3 linked regions of the Neodiprion lecontei genome follow. The protein of the gene in region 1 interacts with the protein of each later gene in a pairwise test. Links are inferred from orthologs where the notes say so. Each region holds a gene or a part of one and is shown on either strand. Other genes may lie near its edges.

Region 1 (3,758 bases):
TAATTTCAGATAAATTTTATTTTTATTGAAGTCAAATGTACAGAGACGATCTTGTATGTGCGATATTTATACTCCCTTCTCAATTAAGCATTTGTAGAATAGTGCAATTCTGCTTAACCAAGAAATTCAAACTCTTCGTCCGAAGCATCGTATTGACGGTCAAGATTTTCAAATTCCAGTACTGGAAAAATCGTAAGTGAAACTTGGTTATTAAAGTTCACCTACATCAACTTCTATGCAATCACTGTGAATAAATTTCATTCAACATACTCCCTGAAGCTGCAGCCCCTGCTGCTTCAGCTGTGTAATCATCCACTGGAGACCAATCGGCAGGTTTTTCTGAGCATAATTCAAATAGTGGTTGTTTCTCTGGATTAATCAACTCATCCTGTATCGATTTGCATAACGATTTGAAGTCTTCCTCTGTTGCACAGAAGAAGCACTGTAATACATTAATATCAGTATTAACGTAATGTAGATAGCTTATTGTCAACTTTTTTTTTCTAATTTACTACTTACCAGAGCAACCGAAGGATCTATTCCAGTTATAGGAATGCGGCTAGCGGATCTACAGTGATAAGTTGTGTCTGTTTCCATCTCGCCTTCCTCAGATTTTTGGTCGACAGAACCAGATCTCTGTGTCGTATGTGGATCAAGGAAAATAACTTCATCACCTGAATCATAAAGAAATTAAATAGTGAATATACAAACATCTTGAGAAAATTTTACCGTTGTAATTACAACACTCATAAAAATTTACCAACGCAGCCAATGAAATACAGAGCCAAATTTGGTTTACCACCAATAACACCAAGGGATTGTTCGATTTGGAAAGAAGTCTGCAATAAGAATATTAAATTGCTCTGAAATTTGTCACTTATCTTTTCTTTGGATACGGATTATATTTTCAATAAAGCATGATAATACCTTAAGGCCATTAACATACACTGGATTAATCTCACTCAGGCCAAGTCTTAGAGGAACGATTAACAATAATGGTTTCCATTCACTAGGTGCTTTCAAAGGCATTTTACCATCTACTTCTACAGTTGTTCCACCTTCTATTTTACACTGTCTCACTGAAATGATCATTTCCACGTATGAATAATTACGTACTACTTGATAACAGCTCAGAGCTTCAATTCCATTATATTTAACTTACTAATGTCATTAACAATTATTGTGTTATCTAGGGCTACATGTATCGTTATCGAACTCCAGTCGTCATAGACAACGAGCTTCCTAAAATAAAAAATCTCAATTACTTAGTTTTCTAATAACAACATTGAGATTTCAAAAAAGTTTATTCATAATTACTCATACATACTTTAAAACCTGTGCTATTGTATTAGGTCCAAACCACTGGCCAACTTCTTTACCTTCGGATGCCCCCATCACAGCAATTTGATGAATAGAAAAAGGAGCAGCTCTACGATCTTCAAATCTATTCAATATTTTTAGATACGTGCTGTCTTTAGTTTCAGGGGTCCAGAGCCAATCTCTTCCTGATTTAATTCAACAACAATACTCCAAATGAGAAAGTGGTACAAAGAAAATCATTTTAAATAGTTTAGCTATATAAAGTTAAGTTAGAGGAATTAAATGGCAAATAAAAATACCTAAATGTAAACAAACTAATGCCTGTCCTAAAACCATCTGTCCGCATCTTAGCATGCAGCCCCATCCCTTGTCAGATGTAAAACTGGAGCTAGAACCTCCAATAGGCACGAAACCCTTACGATAAGTGAACCATAATTTGGACTTTATATCACGCCGAATAGCATCAAGTTCTGAAATGATTTTACAGTTATTATACAGATCAATCAACTGATACTTAATCATTAAAACTGATTGGTAACCTTTTATGGCATTGTATTTTTTTCCGAGGATCCATACAGGGTCTTGAGTATGTGGAACATCATCAGGTTCATCAGATAAGTTTTGCGTAAACAAGCTGTCCATTTCGATCACCTTTGTTTACAACAACCTTGGATTGGAATTTTCGAATGTATTGTTAATACAAAAATTGGGGCAAGTTGGGATGAATCAGCAATGTGAGAATTCGCTTAACTACATTATCCTACATGTTACAGGTCATTTTATACATTCAGTATAAATAAATGGTGACCAATAGATAGGGTCAATGTAGGTTATGGTAAGCGATGTTAAACAGCGATCTATTGTCTTCGCATATACAACACGCAATAGCGTTCCATGATTCTCATGTGTTTTGATTTACCTGTATTTAATAAAGCTGAAAACATTCGTCATCGTATAAACGGTTGTCTAATCATGTAAACCTTTCTTGATAACAGTTTGAACACTCACGATAGAAGCTCTGACTAAGGACTCAGAACTATAAACATTGTTCAACTCTGGTGACAGGTATCAGCTGTATGTGAATATGCATACATACATACACACACACATACGTCAAGCTTCTCTCTCTCTCTCGTTTTTTGTCTCTCTGATGCAGCAGAGATCGAGCTTGAGTCTGAATTTTTACTGGTAACAGAATGCTGCTAAGTTGCGGCGGCATTTCGCTTGATTTCGCTGCTAGTGAAAATCCAGCTTGAGGAAGCCACACTCGCGTTTTTCACATACCCACGGTGTGCCCACGGTCCTACATACTTCCATATGAGTAGCTTCCTTAAAGAGCTCACACGAAGTAATGCTATTGTGAGAGCTCTGTATACTTACTTAGACCCTCATTAAAACCCGAATGAGCTGATTTTTTTGAAAATCGTTTGTCGGTTTTTGCTACATAGTAAGTTCCCGAAATCGAGAACATGAAAAACGAGCTTAGGCTTTCTAGTACCCTCCGACAAACATATTTGGTAAAGCCCGGTGTATGGTGTAACACAAAGCTACTGATCAGAAAACGACGTAAGATATTATTTGACGATTTGCAACGCAACTTGACATCAACAATATGCAATCACAGCTCCATCGTAAGGCTAGATTTATGGCACAAATCAACTATAATCGCAACAGTGTTACACAAATATGAACCAATGCAATTACCGAGTCAAGAGTCTGAATGCTACGGAGTCAATATAAAGAAAAATTAATTCCTAAATTGGAAGTTCCTTTTTTTTTTTGTCAGAGTTTCAGCAGATTTCTTCTTGATACACTCAGTACTAAAGTCAATATTACTTCTTGACGACACAGCTTTACATTTTCACACCTAAAATGAATAAATTGAGCCCAAAGGTTTCTCAAGCTTGCAACAGTTAAAATTTACATAAAGGAAAATTTGAAAACTTCAATAAATAATACCATACCATGTATACCTGTAATATCAGGAAAGTTTTATTTACATAATTTATTTTTATCATAATAATAATCATACTGATACTTATCAATTATCATCGTTATAATAAATAGAATCAATAGTTGCTTTTTTGTTTAAGATTCGTGAGAACTTACGCTCTCTCTATTAATATCAAATATCTATTTAGATCATACATACATATATCGTATATATAATATATATATATATATATATACTAATGATACGTGGAACGTTATCAAGTAATAACTTATAACAGCAGGCCAAAGCTATGCATGGTTTCCACTACGATTGAAATATGGAATTGCAGTTTAAGGATAAAAATAGGTTTGTTATTATTTCTTCAAAAAATCTTCTGTTTATCAATGCCCATTTTTAGTTGACCAAAAAAGTTCACGTTAGCATTATTGTAATGTGTTAATATGAAACCATTTGAACTAATTTATACCAATTCCCAAAGCATTGA
Region 2 (3,607 bases), on another chromosome or scaffold:
TCAGGAGCTTCAACTATTTACTATTTGAACAAAAATTTGCATAACTTCGTTTCGATGATTTTTAATCCATAGCTGGCACACATTACCAGAATAACACAGTTAGCACACTGGAGGCGTTAAAGACCCCAACCACTACAATGCATATCATGAGTAAACAATTGGTTATTTTAATTAGCAGAAATGACCAGAGAGTTTTCAATCCATCTTTCAAACGATAGTACGGGTCATTTTGAGAAAAAAATGTGTAATTCCAAAAAAATTTTAAAGTTTTATCCAATACACTTAAGGTATACTGTTTGAACTAAATAAATCATTTGATAGTCGTTGCTGATAAAAAGGTGTTTATTTTGAAAATTGAAACGATATAGTTTAGTAAAAGTCATGATGCACTTTTGCCTCAAACTAAGAGTAGAAGATGCCAAGGCTAAAATCGGAACTAAATTGGGTGGGGTCATCTCGTATCCTGGTGTCCCAGCTAACGGTTAACATGACTTCATACACAAGTGACAAAAAAATTGTACAAAATGAAACTTAGACAGAAAAAATTACTAAAATATAATAAAATTTACACAAATCAATTACAAAGTATTTAGATTCTCTGGTCACTTTTAATCAGTTGATACAGAAATACAATACGATTCTCATCATCATACTTTTTGCTAATTTTTTTTTTTTTTCATTGCATATGGTTTCTTTTTTTCTAAACCTCTTCTTTAAAGCCTCTACAAATGTAGACTAAGTCAAAGATGGTAAGTTTCAATTGTTTAATTTAAATCAAATTGCATCCATAAACTTGTAGCAGTAGGTGGGTTTACTATTAATTCCCTCTAATTTCCATAGACATTCTCATCGCTGTACGCTATGTAGAGAAAGAAATCCTCTTCATGGTGCTCCTAAAAATTTAAATGGTACGATGTAGTATAATATATGCATCTCAACATGGTAAGTAAATTGCATAACAGTGCAAGTTTGAATAAAAAAGATTTAGGCCTTTATTTGAAAGTTGAAATCTAGAGTTTTGCCGGCCAATTTACCTGGTAGAGAGCCCCCATTGTTGCACTGGTAGGTGGAATGACGTTGTTGACAAAGAAGAAGAGGGCATCCTCGGGACGCAGGTGAATACGCTTACGAATCAGGAAGTAAAACTGTCCGACTGTCAAGTCGGAAGGTACAAGGTACTTCTTTTTATCAAGGTCACCGATTCTCGCCTTGGGAGCTTTCTCAACGATAACCTAGTTCCAACGAACAGAAGATGTCTGTATAGAAAATTAGCATTCGCGTAGTGCTATACAGTAATGTCTGATCTACGATTTCGTTCAAAAACAACAAAAAACATTCACGGCTCTCTTTGTCAGGAAAAATCTCGCAAAGAATAAATAAGTAATAGGCAGAAAGAATAGTTCAATTGCAGATAACTTCAAGACAAAATTAACGTGAATAGTGCATGACCAGCTTGTTGTTTTAAACATTCATCGGGGTTCGAAGCTTGCGCAATAGTATATTTGGTATGTATACAGGAAACTTAGACAAAAATAAATGTAGAAAAAAGTAAATCCAAGCTGGTAAATGTGACATATTTGCACACGGTTAGTGATTTTTGGCACAAAGGATTACACTATTATACCAGCCTGCAAATACACTAAATTGCACGGTTCCATAAACCTAACGTAATTATACATATTCCGTGAAAGCACTACTAGCAGGATATTAGAATGTTAAGTTGCACCATTAGGAAACTAGTTTAATATACACAGTTATTATGTTCGTACTAAGCCCCGTTTTATCTTATCAGAGATCATACGAATTAATATTGTGGTTAAAAATCGCATTGTTTATCCACGCATTGAATAATATTCTCTAGTTAACTGCAAGAGGAACAATATTATCAGAGCTCTGGAAAATGACGCAATTGATTTTTATCTCTCTTTTCCACGAATTTTCTTCATTTTCTACTACTTTCTTTTTGCTCTAAAAAAGCATCGGAATAATTACGTAGGTCGCAAGCGAGGCAATGAATACAAAACGACGAAACTGAAATCTGCAGGCATTGTGCCGCATACAACATTGCGCGTAATTTCAACACTGTAATCGATAGTAGATATTCAGAATGAAAAGTTGGTATTACACAAAGAATTCGGCGGTGGTTGAAAGATATTGTTCAAAAACTAGAAGAGACTAGAGAGAGTAAGAAAAAACAAAGAGAAATGGCGCTGAAAAATGCTAACTGTTCCAAAAATACGACGCAGAATAGCATCTCAGCGAATGTATACCCAAGGCATCGACCTTGGACATCGTGTGTATCTGGCATCAGCCGGATTGCATAAATGGCAAGCAAAACGCGACGTCCCAACAAAGAATAGATATAATAACCAGCAGACGGTAGTCAGTGTGAGGAGTAGACGCGATCGTTGGAAAATAAATCCGCGTCATTATGGCTCGCAAGTTACGTTGCCGTAGTTGGGTTCTCAACTTCTTTTTACGTAACGGTGACAAATGTCTTTCCTTGGTTAGCAGCTGACTATATTGAAAGTAACGTATAGACACGTTGAAACTCAATGTAGGTAGATACCAGGTTCTTCACTTGAGACAGAAATTTACTTTCATGAAACTTACGGGAACACGGTCAGGATATTTTCGCCTGATTTTCTCGCCCTCCGCCTTCCTTTTCTCGAATGGATGCTCCTCCTTGTATTGAAACTTCATTTTTCAATTTTATTGATACAAACAAAAATACTTTTCCCGATAGATTTCGAATGGAGACGACTAAAACTGCTTTTACGACTGGACCACTAACTGTCACAACAATTGCCGTGCGTCAACTGAACGCTGAACGCCGCGCGGACTGGACTGCGACTTTACTGCGCGGAGTAAAATAGTCCTCCCCCTCCATCACCCAAGTCGTGAAATCGATAAGAATCCTATTCATCTTACGTGAGTGTAAATAGACCATAACTGAAAATGAAATATCAACTATATTTAGAATAAATTTCACTATTCTTTATGGGTCTCTGTTTATAAAGCGTTCAGGTTATGAAGGAACGAAGGATGTATTACTGCGCCGTTACGCGATGACGAATGACGTTGCAACATTCTCGTTCTGTACTTAGACGTAGAAACGCCATTCGCTGCTTAACTAGATTCGATGAATATGGAAAATGATTTTAGCCACGTTTCGCTAATTTCAATTCAACACACCGGTATCACTGGCTAGCCAATGTAACGGGTCAGATATTCAGTTGGAAGATAGACGAGTCTCTTGGATATCAGAACAAGCTATAGGTCGACTTGCATATTAACGGCATTTATTATTTGAACAATATTTATGTACAGATGTTGGTAAAGACCGTCAATAAGCGCAAATAGATGTAAACAATTTCGTTTATTCGGCATCATCCTCGTCGTCATCTTCTTGGCTGTTTATCTGGAAGTACCTCAGTTCATAGGTATCCTTGTCTTTTGAGACGACACGAAGCCAGTCACGCAATTTATTCTTCTTAAGGTACTTCTTAGTCAAGTATTTCAAGTACCTGAAAAAAAACGTTTCCAAATTAGTGCAAATATCGGTATCTGAACTGAGTTCAGTCTAAGGAGCGGTAAATAATCGTTT
Region 3 (3,758 bases), on another chromosome or scaffold:
TTTAAATAACTAACAGTTTTTTTTTATTAACCCATGCTTTGAACTACCGAAAAGATGAAATTATCATCAAAGAAAATTCAATTGATTAAGATAAACAAAAATAGCAAATACGAAACACTTCGTTTCGATTGGTTTATGAAGATCTTACGAACAAATGAATTTTGATATTACTAAGAAAAACTATCAGCCTCAAAAAAATTAATAATTATAATATGAGAAAAACTTACAATCTTCTAATTACTAAAAAATACTTGTACGAACATATTGCAAAATCTGTTAACTTTAGAATATTTTGTTGCCATTTTCCTCAACTAACTACTAACGTACAAAATACTATTACCGCTACTTAATACATTTTATCTGTAAATATATTCCAATATTATCATAAAGGAGATTATTTGTTTAGATTCTACTGTAACATTTCTTGAATAAGGATAAGATTGTTACAAAACAATTATTTTTCAGCAGGCAATTTGAGGAACTATCACGATATAATTATACATGTGCGAGTGTAGTTAATACAAATTAATAAGTAACAATAGGATATGACGCTTAAACAAAAACGGTTAATAAAGAAATCTCAATGTCAACATTCAGGCTCAAATAAAAATATGATATTTCGTAGTATTTTTTCATCAAGTATTTGAGCTGTTTCACACTAGTAGTTCGACTTGTTATAACATTATAGTGATTGACGTGATAATTAAACTTTCAGTACAATGAATGGGTACAATAAAACGATAATTAAGTCAAGAATAATCAACTACTAGGATTATCAGCTCTCTTTTTACTGGAGGTATATAATTTGTTTACTTTCCTTTTTATTCTTTAATTCAGTTTGCATTTAACATGTCCCTCATGTATTCTCAAACTTATTCTCACACAACACGCAACAGCCTAATCACAGTTGCAATAAGTTCAACAGTATTTATCACCCGTCGTTCGATATTTTTGTATAAAATAATTAAATCTGAAATAGCAATAAGTCGGTTTTCAGTATTAGACATTTGTAACGCATGCATGTATAGAAAAGACAGAGGCATCCTCTGATTCATGTATCCTAATGTAAATGAAATACAATAAAAAAACGACAGTAAATATTACAGGTAAAGTGTCCTTGAAATTTACTCAACAACAACAATGCAGTGAATTGATTTTATTAATTTTTATATCACTTTAACAACAGATATAGGATAATATTTCAAGAAAATGTTATTTCAAATAGAAAACCCAGCTTTCTATACACTGTATTATAATTCGATAAAATTACTGATATTTATTTGAATATAATTTACATCGCTGTTTGCATGTATTTGATACCATTAAAAGTCAGTAAATACAAGTAAAAGTAAGATATGTGTAACAATTCATCCTCCTTTTGGATATTAGTCATCTTTAATGTTCACGCAGCAGTTTTTGGCACTAGCTATGAATTCTTTGCAACACACAGAGCATAAGTACGCCAAGTTCTTTAATTTCATATTATATAGGTAATTCTTACAATTTGTGTATAATCACCGAAGACTCACCTAGAATCACACCAGTCGCAATTTAGCAACCAAATACTTCTTGGCTAGCGAAAACAATGTAAAGAAAACCATCGGCGTCTTTTTCGTGCTGATAGAGCTGCGCCATTGTCAAGCTTCCACTAGCCATGCTTCTTTGATTAATCAACAGAAAAAATGCTTGGGTCGGATGAAGGTGTAGCCTGCGCCTATTTCCAAGCATGACAAAACAGAGTTTTTATGTCATTTGATTTACTAAACTACTGCAACATGTTCAGAAAATTGTTTCGCACAAAGTAGATATAAAAGAAAATTTCTGGCGACCTATCTCAGAGAGAGATAATAAAGAAGTGGATTAATTCGAAATAATTGAATGAGGTACAATTTAGTAAGAACACTAAAAAAAAAATAATAAAAATGAAACATGATTCCTTTGTGAAATTGCGACTCACCTAATAATTTTTATAAGCTCGGCTACAGTCAGGTGATCAGGTACTAAAAATTTGAATTTATCCATAATTGGCAATTGTTTTTCTCCGGCGAACCTTTCGACAATTATCGGAATCTTATTTGGATGTTGTTGCCTAATTAATTCAACCTCAGCGACACGCTGCACTGTAAATAGTCAAAGTAAAGTTGAAAATAGTGAACAAGAAGTATTATAGGTGGTTTTCGATTTGTTTATTTATATAATAAAAATGGTTTTAGCTCTCTCAAGGATTAAAAAGAAACATCTTATCGCATATTATTTTCATTGTTATGATTACGGTTATCATTATTATTATTATTTTTGTTTGTTTCCATAATTATACGTGCAGAATAGCGAAATTAATAGCCTTATACGCATTAAGCAGTAGATTAAATAACCTAAATTTGATGTTATCATTTATTCATTTATTTACTTACCGAACGGACGCGTTTCTTTAAACGATTTTGATGAGGACTTCATTTTCTCACGGTTATTGAGCTTTGCTTTATGGTATTGGGTACTGGAACTGCGACTCAATTCCTTGTATTTCTCGTGCGTAGATGTAAATATCTGTACGAACTACAATTTGCGCGTTCAAGTCGCACGCATTAACTAGCGTATTACTCAAAAGTAAGTATCTTGTCAATGCGACGTTACCGATTCTCGTGGGAAAAATAAAATGCTAATGATTGGTAGGCTGATCGAAATGTCAACACGATCAATTTTGACCAATGCACTCGGAGTTATGATACATACGTATGTAAATATTTATTTAGTGATTATTGCGACGATTCCAGCTCCACTCGTTGTAATAGTGTTGATATATCAAACTAACGATTATCTGCGCTATCGTGTGCGATCATCAACTATTCTTTTGTTTTGATTAGCTGCTTGGCGTCTTTTTGCTGTACTTCTTCTTGAATCCTCGCTTCCTAACGGACTTTTTTGTCTCCTCTCCCCTACTGCTGGGCAGCAAACAACACGCCACGAAGTAAATAAATTGATAAGATCGAAAGACCGTGCTATAAGTTTCGCCTCGGATATTCTACAAACGGAGACAGAATACGTTTGCTCTTCTTGTCGCACTGATGCTTGAACCAATTTGGAATACCTAAGCCTTGTGACGCCGACGTCAGTTGCACGCCGTTAGTACGAAAATTGTACGGACAAGGTTTTTGCATTTACAACCATGCTTCATGTTTATCGCGTCTCTCTTACTTCTAAATCCACTGCTATGGTTGCAAAATTTGTGCAAAAGCTTAAAGCATTTCTTAGTTTAGTCATATTCGTTAATAAATTCTCACTGGCTTACTATTTTTTTGGAATAAAAACTGTAAGGAGTTTCCTTTCTAATCAAATTTCATATGCCAGTGACTAGCGACGTAAGTAACAGAAAGAGGCAAACTACTCGAAATAAACGATGCGTTGAACTAAGACACGTAAAATTTCTATAGAAAGAACACTCGTTTTACTTTTCATGACAAAAAAATAGTCAGTCAGCGTAAACCCATTAATGAACATTACTGTTCAGGAAAGTGCATGAATGCCCTAACCTCCGGACTGACTTACTTTCGGTCCGAAACAGAATGCTACTTTGATTTATTATCTCACGTTATCTGCATGTTACGTTGTTTGTATCGTCACACAAAGTGAACTCGCATTTTGTTTTAGACCGAAAACAAATTATCCGTATAGGTAAGGCATTTATGCATTTTACTGTACATAGTATATTACGAGAAACCATCAAAATGTACAGCTACACTGTATACGTAGATGCTAACCTG

Evidence for each region.
Region 2: the proteins of cysteine protease ATG4B (region 1) and gamma-aminobutyric acid receptor-associated protein interact in binary tests that used the Caenorhabditis elegans proteins (3 or more experiments, as listed by UniProt). The link is inferred for Neodiprion lecontei from reciprocal best matches to the Caenorhabditis elegans genes atg-4.1 and lgg-1.
Region 3: the proteins of cysteine protease ATG4B (region 1) and microtubule-associated proteins 1A/1B light chain 3A interact in binary tests that used the Caenorhabditis elegans proteins (3 or more experiments, as listed by UniProt). The link is inferred for Neodiprion lecontei from reciprocal best matches to the Caenorhabditis elegans genes atg-4.1 and lgg-2.

The regions. Positions count from the first base shown.
Region 1 is NC_060261.1:33,998,978-34,002,735, forward strand, and holds the start of cysteine protease ATG4B, read right to left. Parts: upstream 2,413-3,758; 5' UTR 2,240-2,412; intron 1,988-2,239; 5' UTR 1,963-1,987; coding exon 1,860-1,962; intron 1,791-1,859; coding exon 1,620-1,790; intron 1,506-1,619; coding exon 1,328-1,505; intron 1,243-1,327; coding exon 1,163-1,242; intron 1,080-1,162; coding exon 928-1,079; intron 840-927; coding exon 761-839; intron 675-760; coding exon 520-674; intron 443-519; coding exon 271-442; intron 182-270; coding exon 114-181; 3' UTR 1-113. UniProt on the Caenorhabditis elegans protein: Cysteine protease required for autophagy. Cleaves the C-terminal amino acid of ATG8 family proteins lgg-1, to reveal a C-terminal glycine.
Region 2 is NC_060263.1:16,256,866-16,260,472, reverse strand, and holds gamma-aminobutyric acid receptor-associated protein, read right to left. Parts: upstream 2,833-3,607; 5' UTR 2,704-2,832; coding exon 2,614-2,703; intron 1,233-2,613; coding exon 1,035-1,232; intron 894-1,034; coding exon 828-893; 3' UTR 607-827; downstream 1-606. Other genes in the region: 60S ribosomal protein L22, read right to left, coding at 3,380-3,527. UniProt on the Caenorhabditis elegans protein: Ubiquitin-like modifier involved in the formation of autophagosomal vacuoles (autophagosomes). When lipidated mediates tethering between adjacent membranes and stimulates membrane fusion during autophagy. Recruits lipidated-lgg-2 to maturing autophagosomes.
Region 3 is NC_060264.1:31,140,089-31,143,846, forward strand, and holds the start of microtubule-associated proteins 1A/1B light chain 3A, read right to left. Parts: upstream 2,941-3,758; 5' UTR 2,455-2,940; coding exon 2,412-2,454; intron 2,121-2,411; coding exon 1,958-2,120; intron 1,715-1,957; coding exon 1,552-1,714; 3' UTR 1-1,551. UniProt on the Caenorhabditis elegans protein: Ubiquitin-like modifier involved in the formation of autophagosomal vacuoles (autophagosomes). When lipidated mediates tethering between adjacent membranes and stimulates membrane fusion. Less effective at promoting membrane fusion than lgg-1.